Linked DNA regions of Caenorhabditis elegans. The protein of the gene in region 2 interacts with the protein of the main gene of each other region in a biochemical or structural test. Each region holds a gene or a part of one and is shown on either strand. Other genes may lie near its edges.

The links.
Region 1: of the proteins of oma-1 (region 2) and mbk-2, one has a biochemical effect on the other in vitro, tested with the Caenorhabditis elegans proteins (3 studies listed by BioGRID).

The regions. Positions count from the first base shown.
Region 1 is NC_003282.8:13,005,307-13,013,449, reverse strand, and holds the start of mbk-2 (Dual specificity tyrosine-phosphorylation-regulated kinase mbk-2), read right to left. Parts: upstream 4,293-8,143; coding exon 4,221-4,292; intron 3,991-4,220; coding exon 3,935-3,990; intron 3,814-3,934; exon of another isoform or gene 3,793-3,813; intron 1-3,792. UniProt on the Caenorhabditis elegans protein: Required for oocyte-to-zygote transition in which it phosphorylates oocyte proteins, including mei-1, oma-1, oma-2, mex-5, and mex-6, modifying their activity and/or stability following meiosis.
Region 2 is NC_003282.8:8,885,093-8,892,866, reverse strand, and holds oma-1 (CCCH-type zinc finger protein oma-1), read right to left. Parts: upstream 3,892-7,774; 5' UTR 3,782-3,891; coding exon 3,744-3,781; intron 3,696-3,743; coding exon 3,528-3,695; intron 3,482-3,527; coding exon 3,251-3,481; intron 3,209-3,250; coding exon 3,061-3,208; intron 3,017-3,060; coding exon 2,785-3,016; intron 2,742-2,784; coding exon 2,335-2,741; 3' UTR 1,868-2,334; downstream 1-1,867. Other genes in the region: C27B7.2 (Phospholipid scramblase), read right to left, coding at 1-9; spr-2 (Suppressor of presenilin-2), read right to left, coding at 329-571, 621-821, 895-1,392; C09G9.5 (MARVEL domain-containing protein), read right to left, coding at 4,412-4,514, 4,569-4,668, 4,781-4,912, 4,964-5,071, 5,582-5,707, 6,267-6,297. UniProt on the Caenorhabditis elegans protein: Zinc-finger RNA-binding protein that binds to 5'-UA[AU]-3' motifs in the 3'-UTR of maternal mRNAs to suppress translation in oocytes and embryos.

The DNA of each region.
Region 1 (8,143 bases), 4.1 Mb from region 2:
TGGAAACACAGGCAGGAGATCGACCAACGTTTGAATGGAAATTGAGAGAGACAGAGACATAGACGGTGAAAGAAAAGGCGTGATGGTAGAGGTACAACTGGTGTCAATTAAAACTTTTCAATGGTAATAAACTACACGGGGAGGGGGTATCGAGGTGTCCGATCTTTAAAGAGTGAGAAGGAGGGATAATGGTAGAAGTTCGAAAAATATTTTTTACAAAGTAGAAATCCCGAAGATTGGGGAGCATCGGGTCCTACCGGCAGTTTTGAACGAAGGACATAAGACGAGGGGAGGCATTTCCGGGTATATGGAGGCGTTTTCAGACCCCGAGACATGTCGCCCCGCCCTCGTATGTTAACTTATTTTGCAGTGAAACAAAAAAATTATCAAAAATCTTTCCCTGACCAAGTGTAATATAATCGTTCAGACTACAGATGTTCTGATTAGAAATATGTGGTTTGGCGCCGTTCCTTAATTCGAGCACCTGCCTGTCAAGTGATTCGAATGGCAAAAAAATATCAAGGCTTAACGAAACGAGGGGCCTAAAAATTCCGGTTTAAAAATTAGAAAGAATTGTAATTTTGTGCAACGCTGAATTCAATACAACAAATGTGACAAATTGCTCATAATGCCGTCGGAAATGTGAGGGGAGGGCGAAGAGGCGAATGAGAAGCGTCTCCGTGACGCCTTGGCTGGGCGGAATTCCCACTGTAAACTTTTCGTTCACAAATTCAAAAAAATATTCACAATCTCTATGGGAATTATATTTGAAAGCCTGCCAGTTTTCCAGATACTTAAATTTTTAACTAAACTTACTAACTTTTTAACTTTTTAACTATTTTTAAATAAAATTCAACGACTTTTACTATATGCAAAACCTCACCTCGAAACATCAGGAAGACTTGGAAGTTTTTTGAAATTTTTCTTAGAAATATTCGAATCAGTCAGCGAATTCTTCATATTTGCAAAGAGGAATGAGCCCTGCTTTTGCGCGCGCGAGGAAGAGCCGCCTCTTTCCAGAAGAAAATGAAGGAATGAATGAAGGCAGGGAGCGATAAAAGAGGAGATAGAATTTGTGTTGGAAACTACATTTACAGGCGATTATTGTGTAGTATTAAGTACAAATCTCACAGCTTTGTAAGAGTTTTGGGGCTCTCGAGAAGGAGGAGGAGGAGGACTTATAAGCTTATGCAATTTGATCAAAAGTGCTAAACTTGGCTGAAATTTCAGAATCAAGCAGGTTTGTAGTTGTTTTGTAGAACTAATTTTTGCAAATATTAAAAATTTTAATTTGAAAAAGTTAGATCGTTTCGGATCAAAAAAAATTTCTCCGAAATTTGTTAGTAAGTCAAAAACTAATAATTAAAACTGAGAATTAAAAAAAATTACAGTAAACTTTTTGATTTACAACTATTATAAAACCGTAGTTTAAAAATTGCAAACTGTGACATCTCGGAGAAAAGCCAAAAAAAAAATTGCAAAAACTGTATGTTTTTACAGCTCCAACCATTTTGGCAATAAATAGGACAAGTATTTATTTTTACTGAAAAACTGGAAATTTGGTCATTCACAATAGGAAGTAATTTCTAAAACTACAGAAAGTGCTAAACAACACACAAAGCCAGCTAGCGGAGGATCGTTGCGAGTTGACCAGGTAGATCAAAAACAAAAAAAAATTGTACATACATCTCAAGAATCTGTAGATCACTGTATACAATCATAAAAGGTATGGAAAGCCTCTCCTAACGACTAATGAAAAAGGGAATCCCTGTGAGAGAGGCGAAGAACGATGAAGAATAGAAAAGACGGGTTTTTTACGAGTTGTTTCCATCATGGCCCGGCGTGTGTGTTGCCTCGGTTGGTTTGATTACGATGCCTCATTTTCCCGACCGCAAGGTCCTCCTAGTCTCCACCATACAGGTAAAGAAAACAGAAAACACTACCGAATTAGTACTTGTAATTAAAATAAAAATGTGTGTGTGTGGGGATAGATAGGGGAACGCGAGAACCTTATCTGGGGGAGGGTGGGGAAAGCGGGACTGAAGACTAACACAAGTGATACAGAGAGACAAAGATCGGAAAGATTCGGTGCGGATTTTTGATGACCAACATTTGATACGGTACTTTTGTGAGGAACGCTTTTTTTTGGAAAAAAATATCGTAGTTTTCTGAAAACTTCAGCACAAGGTTTGGCGAATTGGCAAAATTTTTTGCAAACTTTGAATTTTTCAAACAGAACCTTCACAATGTTTAAAAAAATTAAAACTGAAAATTTGTAGAAAAACCCTTTCTTGGTCAATTTCTTGATGTATGGAAATTCAGGAAAAATAGTTTTCTGCAACATTTGTATCACAACGAACAAAATAAAATTTTTGCACATTTGCTCTTAGGCTTGCGAATTTTTCTTTTAACTAAATCTAACAAGATCAAAAAGTTCCATAATTATTTCGTTCAAGTGAACAAATCTCTTGACACTTAAAAATCTCTAAAATCAACCTGTTTTCAAGAAACCATAAAATGTTCGTTTTCTGTAAATTGTCTACTTTCAAGTACAATCTATCTCATTTTTCCTCTTCTCACACACATTGAAATCGTACTTCGAAGAACAATCAGAAAACGTCTTGAAATTGGATAGGGTTAAGGGGGCAAGCACAAAAGGAGTCATTAAAGTTCCATTTTCAAAAAGTGGAGGAAAAAACTTCTGATGAGAACATCATGACGTGCAACTAAATTCTCCCTTCCCGGATATTTTCCTATCATTTTTCTTCGAAGAGAGGGTAAAGGGAGAAAAAGGCCAAGGGAACACTGATTGACTCTTTGAGCATTTTTACACTTTGTGTGTCTCGTTTAAAATGTTGTTACATTCAAAATTGTGAGAAATCGACGAGAGATAGGATTTGAAAAATTGTTCAATTGAAGCATAAGTTTCTACTGAAAAGTCGCTTAAAATTGCAAGTGGCTGAGGAAGTGATTTGATTTTTTTAAAATTTTTTTTAACCAAAAAAATACCGACCTCTACGTCTACTATAAAATATGCGTAAACTTACATGAGGTGAACACTAAAGGCCAGAGTTCAACTTAAAATAAAGGAAATCAGCAAACAGTAGGCAGGCAGGCAGGCATAAGGATATACCTACCAACAATTTAACAATTTACATTACTCCCTTTCTATTGTGACTAGACAACGGGGCCGCCTTACTCAAACGCCAATGCCAATAAACTACGTTAGCTTAGGTCTAACTGTTTTGTTTTAGAGTATGTAAGCTTCAAGGTATTCTAAAACAGCTGTTTTCAGAAAATGAATGTTTTGAAACTATTAAAGTGGGAGAAAAACAAAATTTTTAACAAAAATGTATTGAATCCTGATTAAAATTGCAAAATCAAACAGGTCTGAATCAAAAAAGAAATGATTGACTGTGAATCTAATTGTGAAATCGCTGGTATACCATTCTTGGGTACTCTTGATGACAAATACTCCCCCCACTCCTCCTTTTTATTGAAAAGAAAACACCTCTTCATTGAATGAGAAGGGTTCTCGATCTCAATTTTCATTGATTTTTTTCCTTGTTCCGCCTTTAGATTTCTATTACAATAATACATTGTGATTTTCAAAACATGTTCCAATTTCCAACTAATTAGGCCCTTTACACCAGCTTTTCAACTAATCAGGTTAAGCATAAATGGACAAAAAACATCAAAAAGTTTTCTCAAGGACCCCACAGGGTGTAAAGTTTAATGGGATCCATATGGTGGTCAATGGGGGGGGGCTTTCAAGGAAAATAAATGACCGTCTGCTGCAGGCACGACTTTTGAATATTTCTAGAAATTTCCTTAAGAACTTCAAAGTAATTCGAAATTGCAATATTTTAAACTACATACGTTTAGTGGGAAAATTGAAGAAAAAATTTGAAGAGAAAAAGAATCAAAAGCTCACTGTGAAACTGATCTTCCTTGTGCATCCAGACTCATTACACTGCGATCTCGCTGACCCTGAAATGATTTTTTTTGAATTTTAGGAGCAATTTGTTTAGAATTTTATAATCCTAGTAGAACTATAATAACTAGTAATATCAAAAATGAACATTTAAGAAATCACACAAAAGTTCAGAAAAAAGTCAATATCTTTACTTTTTCAGAGGAGAAATTTAAAAATTTTCAAACTCCATTTCAATTTGAAACTATAATTACATGCACTACTAATAGAGGTATAGCACACCCACCTGTTGTGTAACATCAATCGGTTGTTGCCCGTAACTTCGACTGTTACGTGTGAACGAGGCAAGAGCAGCCATGCTTCAACTACTCTAGACTGCTGCAAGTTTGGGAGAGAATTCCTAAAAATTTTTTGTACTTTTTAATACAATTTGTGGTAGGGGGTAATAAGAGAGTTGACGACGAGTAGAGGGTAATCGGATCAAATACATTTTGTTATCAATGGGAGAAACACCTCACCGAACGTGGGGACAAGTTGGAGCAGATAAGAAAAAGGGGCAAATGATGTTGGAAGAGTCCGTTTTTCTCCCCCTGTTTCTCTTTTACTCTCTAGGAGGAATCCACCAAATTTTTTTTTTGCAGAAACTTGTGTTGTGTTGCGGGTTTGTGGAAGAGCATATGGGAATTGGAGACATAGAGTACGGAGCAACAAACGTTTTTTGAATGGTACACCTAACGGGGTGGAGAACGATGATAAATTGATAGGCAGGCAGTGGATGCTTGGAACGCATGGAGCAAAACTTTTTAGTGAACTTGCTTTGAAAATACAATATAATATAAAAACAAAATAGCGTGAAACTTATTATTAGTGAACCGAAATACGTTAGATGCACAATGACAACAGTGATAAGAAAACGAGATAACTAGATATTTACGCACTTTTAAAGTTCTTCTCCCCATTTTTACGACTAACAATTGGCTTATCAAGAGTCACGAGAGGAGCATCAGCTGGCACCGACCAAAATGGTTTTTTTTCAACTTCCCCTTGTAAGGGAAATTTCTGAACTTTTCCAAAACTTTCTTCCCATAATCTTTGCGCATTCCAAATGTTTTCAAAGCATGCCTTATGAAAACTTAATGCTAATAGTTTTTGATGTCTGATATAAAATGCAAAAATATGGATATCATATGATCAGCGGCAGGAAATATTAAAAAGGGGAGTCTAGAAATAAACAGGCTGAAATTTAAAAAATAGAAGTTAGGGAAGGCATAGAGGATAGGGACCAAGAATGGATAAGCTCAAGCCTAAACCCAAGCCTAAACCCAAGCCCAAACCCAAGCCTAAACTCAAACTTAAACCCAAGTCTAAACTCAAAGTTAAGCCCAAGCCTAAACCTGAGGCTAAACCTGAGCCTAAACCTGAGCCTAAACCTGAACCTAAACCCAAGCCTAAACCCAAGCCTAAACCCAAGCCTAAACCCAAGCCTAAACCCAAGCTTAAACCCAAGCCTAAACCCAAACTTAAACCCAAGCCTAACCCCAAGCCTCAAGCCTAAATCCAACCCTATCTTGAACCTTAGCCTAACACCAATCATAAACAAAAGCTTAAGCCCATAGCAAATCTAAAATCCTATAGCAACCTAAACCCTAGCCTAAGATTAAACCTGAGAATTCTCTCTTATTGAAGCTTAATTGTGTACAAATAACTTATCTGGCATTGGATTCCTGATTGTGAGACGGTTAACGAAATGTGCAAAAAGTGAGAAGAATTGAAAGTAATAAAATAATTGAACAAAGGCAATTTATTTTTATTTCATACCACGTGGATGACCGTGTAAGTTTATTTTGGGTTTCACGCAAAGTTACTTTTTGAAAAATTTTCCAATTAGCATAGTATGTAGACTCGAGGAAAATTGGCATATTTGCTTGGCAAAAGCAAGCCTAAATGAAAACCAGAGCTTCTGCTAAAATTAACTAAATATGTGGTAGGCAAGCACAAAAAAACTAAACCCAAGCCTGAATCCAATCCTAAACACAAGCCTAAACCCAAGCCTTAACACAAGCCTAACAAAGCCTAAACCGGTTTTACCCTGCCTAAACCGGTTTAACCTTTCACGTAAGTGTTTAAAATTTTTTCTCCAATTTTCAAAATTGAGTTGGTCCGAGGTAAGTAGGCATATTTGCCTGCCAACGAATGACTCGTACCTACCCCCAGCGTACAACAAGGCAGGAATGTAGGCCGTATTTTTTATTAACACATGGATGACTGCGTAAGTTTATTTTATGTTTCACTTAAATAACCTTTAAAATGTGTTTCCTATTAGAAAAATGAAATTAACTCGAGGCAGGTAGGCATATTTGACTGTATCGAGCCTACGGCCTATAAATCACTAGACAAGAACGCCTGAAAACCTTAAATTCTATCACGTGTAAAACCAAAAACCAAAGAAAAAACAGCAGCCTGGTAATTAGAAATTCAAAGAAAAAAAGCAAATGGATGAGCGAGAAAGAAGAGAAAAGTGTGAAAGATTCATAGGGATATGTGATGAAGGGTGGTTCGGCGGGGCGAAGGCGTATTCCCTCAGAGTGAAAGAATGGTATAGAACAAGAAGAAGAAGAAAAAAGTGCATTCGGGGTCATAGTAAATTGGGCGTGTTTGAGCAGGGTGAGTGAGGGGAAGAGACAAGAGAAAAGGGGGTACAAAAATGACTGGTATCGACGATTATAATCGAATGAATGAGAGTGTTTGTATCTGATGGAATATCTAGGTAAAGACGGGCGGAACCAATGGCACGGCATTTACGGACGGGAAGGGCCATTCGGACGGTGCGTGATTTATTTATTAGCATGGTAAGAGAACACCGGAATGGGTGTCTTAGTGAAGACAGAAACATGTAGGTAATAGAAATTGGAATTGAAAGTTTTAAAATTATTTCACTCTTCACCGACAATTTTGAAGCCCGGGAGCTTAGTTGATCGCTCAAAAAATTTCTAAATTGCATAGCTTACAAAATGCTATTTGTTTAGATTTTTTTTTCAAATGTCAGATTTTAGATCTTAAAATATCATTATTTTGAGATTATAAAAAACGTTACAGCTATATGTTAGTAAGTTAAGTAAGAGTTTCCAAACATAATTCAAAAATTTTTTGACTTTTGATAAGTTTCGAAAGAAAACTTCCACATTTTGAAACGTCCACATTATTTCAGAGTTTAAAAACTATATTTGCATTTCCAGAAAGAAAGTTCCAAAAGTTATGCGAAAATTTCATATGAGTGAGTCACTTTTCCCATACTATAACATATTCAAAACCTAGGGAGTACAAATGGGAGAATTCAAAATTGTGGTGAGATCTAGACTGAGATCTTTTCACCTGACTCTTTCAGGTGAAAACGACTGTCTGCCTACTAAGCCTTTAAGGCAACCTATGCCTACCTCCTGCATACATGCGCGAAAACTGTAAAAGTGCACGAGAAATTTTTTGTTTACATAGAAAATGTAAACTGGATGTATACCAAGGCAGATGCGTAGGCAGGTATGCACGCCTAAACATTTTCCTAAATTTTTATAGTATCTGAATTTCAATATCAAACATTTTAAACATAAATATCATTATGTTTAGAACCAATACCGTAATCTCAAATTTTCGTCCAAAATGCCAATTTTCGGATGAACTGAGCAAATATTGTGGAAGGGGAAATGATTAGGAAAAGAGCAGCCGCCATCAGTATGTTTGGCGCGGCTTCCCTTTAAGGAATTAGTCAAAAAAGGAGAATGTTACAATGAATGAAGTTGTTCCAGTGTTCGATCCTCGACATATTCTGAAAGCAAAAAAAAGTGATTGTCAAGAGATATTAAACTAAACAATAAGGAATTGACGGGTGGAATACGGAAGAAAAGTGGAGGATGAGAAGCGAATCATCCAACAACAAAAAAAACTGAAGGTCGAGTGGCAAAAAGAATTTATGAATAGAGAAAGAGGGGCGGAGTCGACCGAGCATGAGTTAATCGGTAAAGAATTGAGAAAATGCAGAGGAGAATGGGAGAAGCCTAATGGAATTGTAATAGTCCTCAAAAAATGTCTGATAAAGTTTCCAAGTTTTTAACAAGAATCAGTGAAAATTCAGCATAACAAAAAATTTACCTATAAAAAGTATAATTTTTTCTATCAACACTGCCTACTGCACTGCCTACTGCCTACTGCCTACTG
Region 2 (7,774 bases):
GAGCAACATCTGAAAAGAGGCGAATGAGCAAGTTAGTAGATTGAACTGTTCAAGAACTACGTGAAAAGGAAACTTCGCGGCCAATTACCATTTGTTTTGTAGGACTCTTAGACGGTATTCAATGCAGATCTTTCATTTGATTCGAATATACTTGGAATCATGTCAAAAACATATAGGAATACAATCAAGCTGAAGATAGAGCCGCAAAAATACTCGGCAGTGAATAAATACTTACAAAAACGGGATCGATTGATAAATGATAAAAATGACAATTATAACACACGGTGGGAATAATAAATTAGTATGCAACAAATTTCAGCTTCACAAGCTACTCTGCAGTGTTCTCGGGGTTGACTGCAACGTGTGCTTCAACATTCTCATCACCACCTTCTTCTTCAATTGCTCCATCCTCTTCTTCTTCTTCACCCTCCGCTTCTTCTTCAACACCATCTTCTTCTTCTTCTCCCATATCTTCCTCTTCTTCATCCTCTCCTTCTTGCCCATCCGCACTTTCATCTTGATCAACCTTCAGTGAATCACTTATGTTCCGACGAGGAATCCTTTGTCCATTCTGAAAATTGTTCAAAAATCCAGTAGCCTCATAATGGTGTTTCTAATACCTCATCTACACCGCGCTCCTCATTCAGAAAGTCTTCGATATCGTCTTCTTCAACTTCCTGCATGTCGGGCATCACGTAGTACTGCAAAGGATTGACGTACAGATCGTCTTTGATCACTTCAGCAATCTCATCACTGTCTGGTAGTGCTGCGTACGTGAGCCATTCAAGAAACGTGTGAGCTGAATCTCCGTCTTCCGGCTTCTGGAAGAGTTACATTGCGAAAGTTTTAGAAAAAATTCGATTAAAACAATAGGGATTATAAAGATAAACTCACGAATGGCGGTTTCTTGTTCTCCTTCCACTCGATTTCGGTAATTTCGGTGCTCGGTGACTCAGATTGCAGATGATACGACTTTGTAATTACTTCGTTTGTGAAGTACTCATTCGGGTCAAATGTCATAATTATTTTGAATCCACTGCGAAGATCTTCAAATTCTTGCACTTCAAGATCTCGCAGAGCGGCTAACAAGTCCTCTTGTTCTTCCGGAATAGCAGTTGAAAGAAGATGATGATTGAGAAAAGCAGTCTGCCAGAAATTGTCGATTTTTGTTGTCAGCTTCTTTCTTTTTTCATAAATCGGAAGACGTTTCTGATTGAAAATCTGCTCGACTTTCAAAACTTCTTCGGCAGCGTTTTCACTCATCACATCTAGTTGGTGCTGAATGGCGTCTAGTTCGATTAGCTTTTCCTTCACGGGACCAGCTACTTCGGATCGGAGATTTGGGAACTCATCGGCATTTTTCATTCGCTTTGCAGCCGGCTCTTCGCTCATATTTTAACTGAAAAAATTGAAGATTAACGGCAAAGAGAGCTTGTTTAGTAGAACAACAAAAGGCAGGGCGAGTTTGTAAAGCAAGTGTTCAACAGAATAAGCGCAAACGCACTGAAAATGCGCAAATAGTGTTGACTGGCGCATATTTTGAATAGAGCCTAGACACTTTTGATTTAATCAAGTGATTGATCAAGCTTACCCACAATTAACAGTTTTATAAATATCGACAATTTATGACCTAGTCAAGAACGCGAAGCTTAAAATTTAAAAAAATAAATGTATTATTATCGGTTAAACGGTTGGGAAAAAACTAATTAACATGCATGCATATAAAGTCTTTAAAACCGTAATGTTCTCATATTGAGAACAAAGCTAACTTGAATTGCAATATTATTTTGCTTTTTCATGGTACGTACTTAGATAGTTTTCGTGTTGGAACATATAACCTGATTTTCAATAAATTTGAAAATTGAATCGATCAAAAAAATTTACTACATCCTGCAATGAGGATCAAGAAGGAAATTTCGGATAAAAATTTTAAATGAACAAAGAAACGAAAGAAAAATACGTACGGGCAGTATCGGAGCCATTGAGAAGAAAGAAAGATAGAAAAAAAGAATCACAATTATGATCCGTGGCAGGTGCAATTTATTTTGAGATTGGGGAAGGGATTAGTGAGACAGAAGGCAATCGGGAACTCGAGCGGTGAAAATTGGAATACATTCAATGATTCGATGAATTACAATATACATCACAAGATTCGATATTAATTTCGAGAATTTAAAATGGGAATGGGCGCTTTTGACGATTGGGCCAAGTTTCTATGGGACAAGAACACGTCGACTAAAACTTATTATATTCACAAATGCACGCATTATTAGTTAGTATGGGGGACACGAATATTGAAAGTGTTTAAAAATTTGACAAATGTAGAGAAGTTGTTCACCACAAATTGAGATGCTTGGTCATATTTTCGGCCAATTGATCGAATCCTGGCATTGGAGAGAATGGTCCGTTACATGACATCATTGGATCAGTTGCGACAGATTTCATCAGAAGAGATTGAGCAACAGCAGAATTTGCGAAATATGCAGCAGCGGCAGCTGCGGATGCTGCATTGAGTGACGAAGAACTGAGATCCTGAGAAGGCGTGGATCCAGCAGATGAATATCCAGAAACTCCTCCAGGAGTATTTTGCTTTCCGAGCATTCCGAACGAGCCAGCATTTGGAGCGGAACCCAAAACCATCGAATCGAGTGGACTAGCTGGCCGATGTGCCATATTCCAAGCGTCTAGAGCAAACATCGATGGATCCAATGGCCAGCGAGACGGTGGATAGGTCATCGCACCTAAAACAGAGGTCATTAATTGCAACTAGCTGCCAATTTTTACCTTCCGCGTCATGCAATTCCTTCGTTGGTAGCTCATATCTTGGACCACGAGTACTAACAGGAGTTGGTCCTAGTGGCAATTTAGCCGCTGGCTCATCTGGAGTTGATGGCCTGGCAAACATTTCTAAAGGATGCTGAATGGCAGAAAGCGGGGGAGCTGCAATGCGACCATTAGTCATGATGTGCTGCTCCATTTGATCACGAATGTCAGCCAATGCATGGCGTTGAGAAACCTGAAAATGTTTACAGTGAGCAAAAATACATGTTTTCTTCTGACTTCAAGAAGTTTATCAGCGCGAATGTATGCGTTTGGTCCATGATCGGGATGAATGAAAAGGCACCGTTTCCCGTATGGGCAGAGTCCTGTAGTCGTATATTTGTCACAGAGTTTCGTTTTATACTTATTGTTCTGCAGCGGCTCGACGCTAAAAATTGGAATTAACATAATTTGTTTGCTTCATTCTTACAATGTTGGACGAAGTTCCTCCTCTCCATGTGCAAACCGGCAGTTGTCTGCGAAAGAACAAGTCTTAGATTCGAGCCAAGCTTGGCAGATCACAGTCTTGTATGATTCTGGTTTCTGCATTCGGGCTAATCCGCGGCGTCTAGGATCAAACTGTTGAAATGGAGGTGCAACCTGGTTGTTCTGGGGAAAACTCTGAATCGCGCGAACTTGCATCGATTGAATATGTTGGTTGCTGAAATGTAGTAAATTGAAGATATTCAGGAAATTAGCCAACGCACAATGCAATATCTTCAAGCAACTGCTTTTTGATAGCAATCAAGTTAGCAGTTTGAGTAACCAAATCTCCAATCTGGGCATTCGGATTAGTTTGAGACAAGTCCTTAGCGTGATCGAGTGGTGAAACGGGCAAAGTTGGAACGCCAGCGAGGGAGCTCTCGAGATGATGCCTTTAATAACATAAAATTACTTTTTCATTTGAATTTTGTTAAACTCACTCATCGATCTTCTCGTTGTTTTCACCGTTAACGTTCATATTGATGCAGTTGAGTGGATGTGAATAGTGTAAGTAATCGGGTGCAGGGAATGCTTAACAATCAACACCGGAGATACTCGATTTCCGGAAGATGTTGCGAGCTGTAAGTTCTGAAAAAGAAAATCAAATGATCCTACTGAAAAACAAAAACACGTTACATAAAACAATACTTGAGTGCGAACAAAACAGATACGAATGGCATTTATGAGAAAATATCACATTTTGGCGCCGGTGCACAATAAAAAAGTTTAAAAAAAAGTTTTTAATATAAATATGTCAGAATTTCCGGCCGAAAAGTAATATTTGAAACAAGGAATACTCAAGAAAAGCCTGAAAAATGGTTCCTTCATATTACGCGGGGGCATAAACTACGGTCGCACTGTTTTCACGTGTGCGATTTAAAATGATGTGCGTCTTTTAGGAGTACTGTAGGCCAAAAGTTTTCACGCCTATAACTGCTTGTAGTGAACTGATATGTTATTATAATCAAACAATTTATGCACTAATTTAAGTTAAAAAAAAACATATTTATTTTTTACAATCAAAAAATTATAGCGACAAACCCGTGTGAAAAATCAGGAATCTTTAAAAAAAATGAATGGTTGAAAATATCAATTAGAAACTTCAAGTTCATCTTCGATTGAAAAGGTACAACCTTCGAACATCAATATACGTCCAAATATACGAATAGATGAAGAATATTTCAAATGCACCAAATACCAGCAATGCAACTCTGAAATTGATAAAATAGTATACCCTAGGTTTCCTTTTTTTTTCAAAATCCCACCTTAATAAAATAATATCAACAATTTTATAACTCCGATCTTGTCCATTAACCTCTTCTCTAATTTCATCAGGAACTGTGATTGTCGATCCGATTACCGCTCCTGTAATCTCTCTTTTTCCAATTAAAAACTGTCAAATTTGGTCGTCCGGTTCACAATCTCTCAATATTTGCGAAACTGATTAAAACCACACCGAAAAAAAAACTTCGCTCACCAGCATATGCAAAAAACAGAATCGTATTCAAAACCATATATGGTAGTAAAAATTTGGGTCTCGCACGGAAAACTGCCATAATAAACATTAAACTGAAGGTGAGGATCATGGTGATAAGTATGGAGCAGATTACTGAAAAATCCATATTTCTAAATAATTCAGATTAAATTTATTTAACTGTACCAATAAATTCAACATAATTCTTCGGTGTTTTTTGAATCAATCTTATTAATCCATAAACGTAAAATGCAAATAAGAAAATTGCATTGAAACTGATTCCAAATATTGCAACTGAAAACATATTTTTTAATATAAATTTTTCATCGACTCCCTTAACATTCTTGTTACCCTGTTTTTTATAAATAAATAATCCATCGAAAAAAATAGCCTTGTTATTTATTTTGTGATCAGTATTTTTAGGTTTGATAACACTTGTAAAACAAACAAAACAAAAATGTAAACAATTTTATAATGATTCTCATGTTATTTTTGTTTTCAATTTTTCTATTATTAAGAGATAAGCTTTAATGTGTCAAAAATCAAATAAAAAAGAGAGAAATAATGCCTGCCTGCCTTCACCTCGCGCGCCTTCTGTACACGCAAACGTTGTTTCTTTCATTTGTTAATTTAACTTTCATCAAATAAGATGATAAAATAAAGATAATTGTGTAAATTAACACTGTGAGAACAAAATAAGTACATAAGATATGAAAAAGTAGGCAGGCATAGGTAGGCGTGTGGGAACCTAGAAAATAATCCCACTTTCTCTCGAATTAATTAATAAAAACTTCTCAAACTAACTTTTATGAACACCAAAATATCCACAAAGCTTCGTTGGTTTAGGCGCTGTTGGCATTGAAAAATAATTTTGATCCGTTGATAATTTATCAGAAATTGTAGACATTGTGATGAAAGTGTTGGAAACTTCTGCAAATTTCAGGAATTGAATAAAAAAAATAAATAGGAGGCTACAAATCACTGTATTTGTTTCAATGATTATGATACGAACCTATTTAAGTGAATTTTTTTGAACTTTTGCGGAAAAGGGAAATGGTCTGATAATGCATATTTTTGTGGTGATAATTTTGAAGAAACTTTGATCGGTAACATTTTTTGCATAGATGAAAGTCGAAGAACAAGAACAATTCTCAATATAAATTTAAGTGGGAAATCTTTAAAGCACAGGAAACCTGGGAGCAAAAAAGTGAAGAAATGGCAATATATGCATATTTTGATAATTTCATGTATACACTATGATAGACAATTTAAATTTGAATTAGAAAAGTTCGTGACTATAGTTACTGACTTTTCTATACTGCGCTAAAGTTTCCAAGTGGACTCTCCACGATTTCGCTCTACTTTTCTGCTTCTTACTAATATAACTGATCAGAAAGTCTTTAAAAAATAATTCAAACTTGTATTCAAACTCTTTCTCGTTTTACAGATTTTTTTATAATTTTGAGACAATCAAAGGATAAAGACAAACCTTTCTTTTTAAGATCCCGTTTTGTTTTCATAATTTCAGATAGAATTGTTTACGAAAACAGGATGAAGATTATCTGAAAAATTACATTATATTCAAAAAAAGAAAATTAACTAAGTAAGACAAAGTATTTTAGTAACCAAGAAAAACTTTTTCACGAACAAAACAAATGGCAGCTGTCTGAGATAATCGGTGAAACAAAATCTCTCAAATATTGGCTAATCTTAAAATTACTACTGGAAAGTATGTCAAACTACTTTTTCCAAATGAAACCTCTTTCAGTCAAAAAAGGAGGAGCCACATGTCCATTTTTACCATTAAATGTTTGCGTATCGAAAACTTAATCGGCCCGAACCGAGACACTATGAGGTCAACATGTGATGATGAGAGAGAGAGAGTATGGATCAAGGTATTATATAGAAAAAATACTGAAAGAATGCGGGGAAAATGAGTCATGATAAATACTAAAATAAGTTAAATATCGTTTTGAAAATATCAAGAGTTCTAGAGGAATAAAGTAAATTGAAAAATTCATAGTATAGTTTTCAAAAGATAAATTCCTAACATTGAAAAAACTTAAATTTTTCAAAAATCCGAAATTTGATCTTTAATTTCAAAATACTTCGTAACAACCCATGCCTTTAATTAATAAAAGCTTGGCAGATGCGACATCTTAAATTTTTTTAAATTTTGCGTTTTTGCTTGAATTATTCGTTTTTGAAAGCAATACAATTTTAAAATGTTAAAAAAAATCATTAAAAGAACCCAAAAACGCATAACATTTTCCTGATAAAGTTTATTTTCAAAAAAAAATTATATAAACTTTTTCATTTTCTCGTAACTTTTTGAACTAATACCATTTGAACTCTTCATGATCTTCAAAAAGTCTTCACTCATTTTTTTTCTCATCTGTGCCGTCCCCAATTTTCCTGCTCTATTTATTTTCGTCAATCCCAAAATCAAATCAAACCAAAATCAATCAACGAGAGTACAAATAGATGGACAAGATGGTTACGGAATCGAAAAATGAGAGAAAATATATAAAAGAAATGCTCGGATATTGCGCATTTTTTTGTGGGAAAAATGAATTCTAATCACATGAAACTTGAGAAAATATGAAAAAGTATAAGAAGTATAAGAATTTTGAATGATATCACTTATTTATAAAGTTGTTGTTTCAAATGTGTATTTTCAATCAACTGTTAATCAAAAAATAATCAAAAATTACTAACTGATAAAATATTGATATTTCTAAAATGAATTGGTATAAATATATGATTCCAACGTTAACATTTGGATTATTGAAAATATGGGATAAATTGGCCTCTCAAGTAGTAAAATGTTTTTTTAAATTTAAAAAATGGTTGATTATTTCTTCATTCAAAAATAAAAATTACTGAAAGTAAAAGTTTCAAAAACCATAGCAACAAAAAATCAAGTCATGCAAATAATGAAAATATCAACGAAATTCTTTAATTTCCACTTGAAACAGTAAATTGAATAGAAATTTC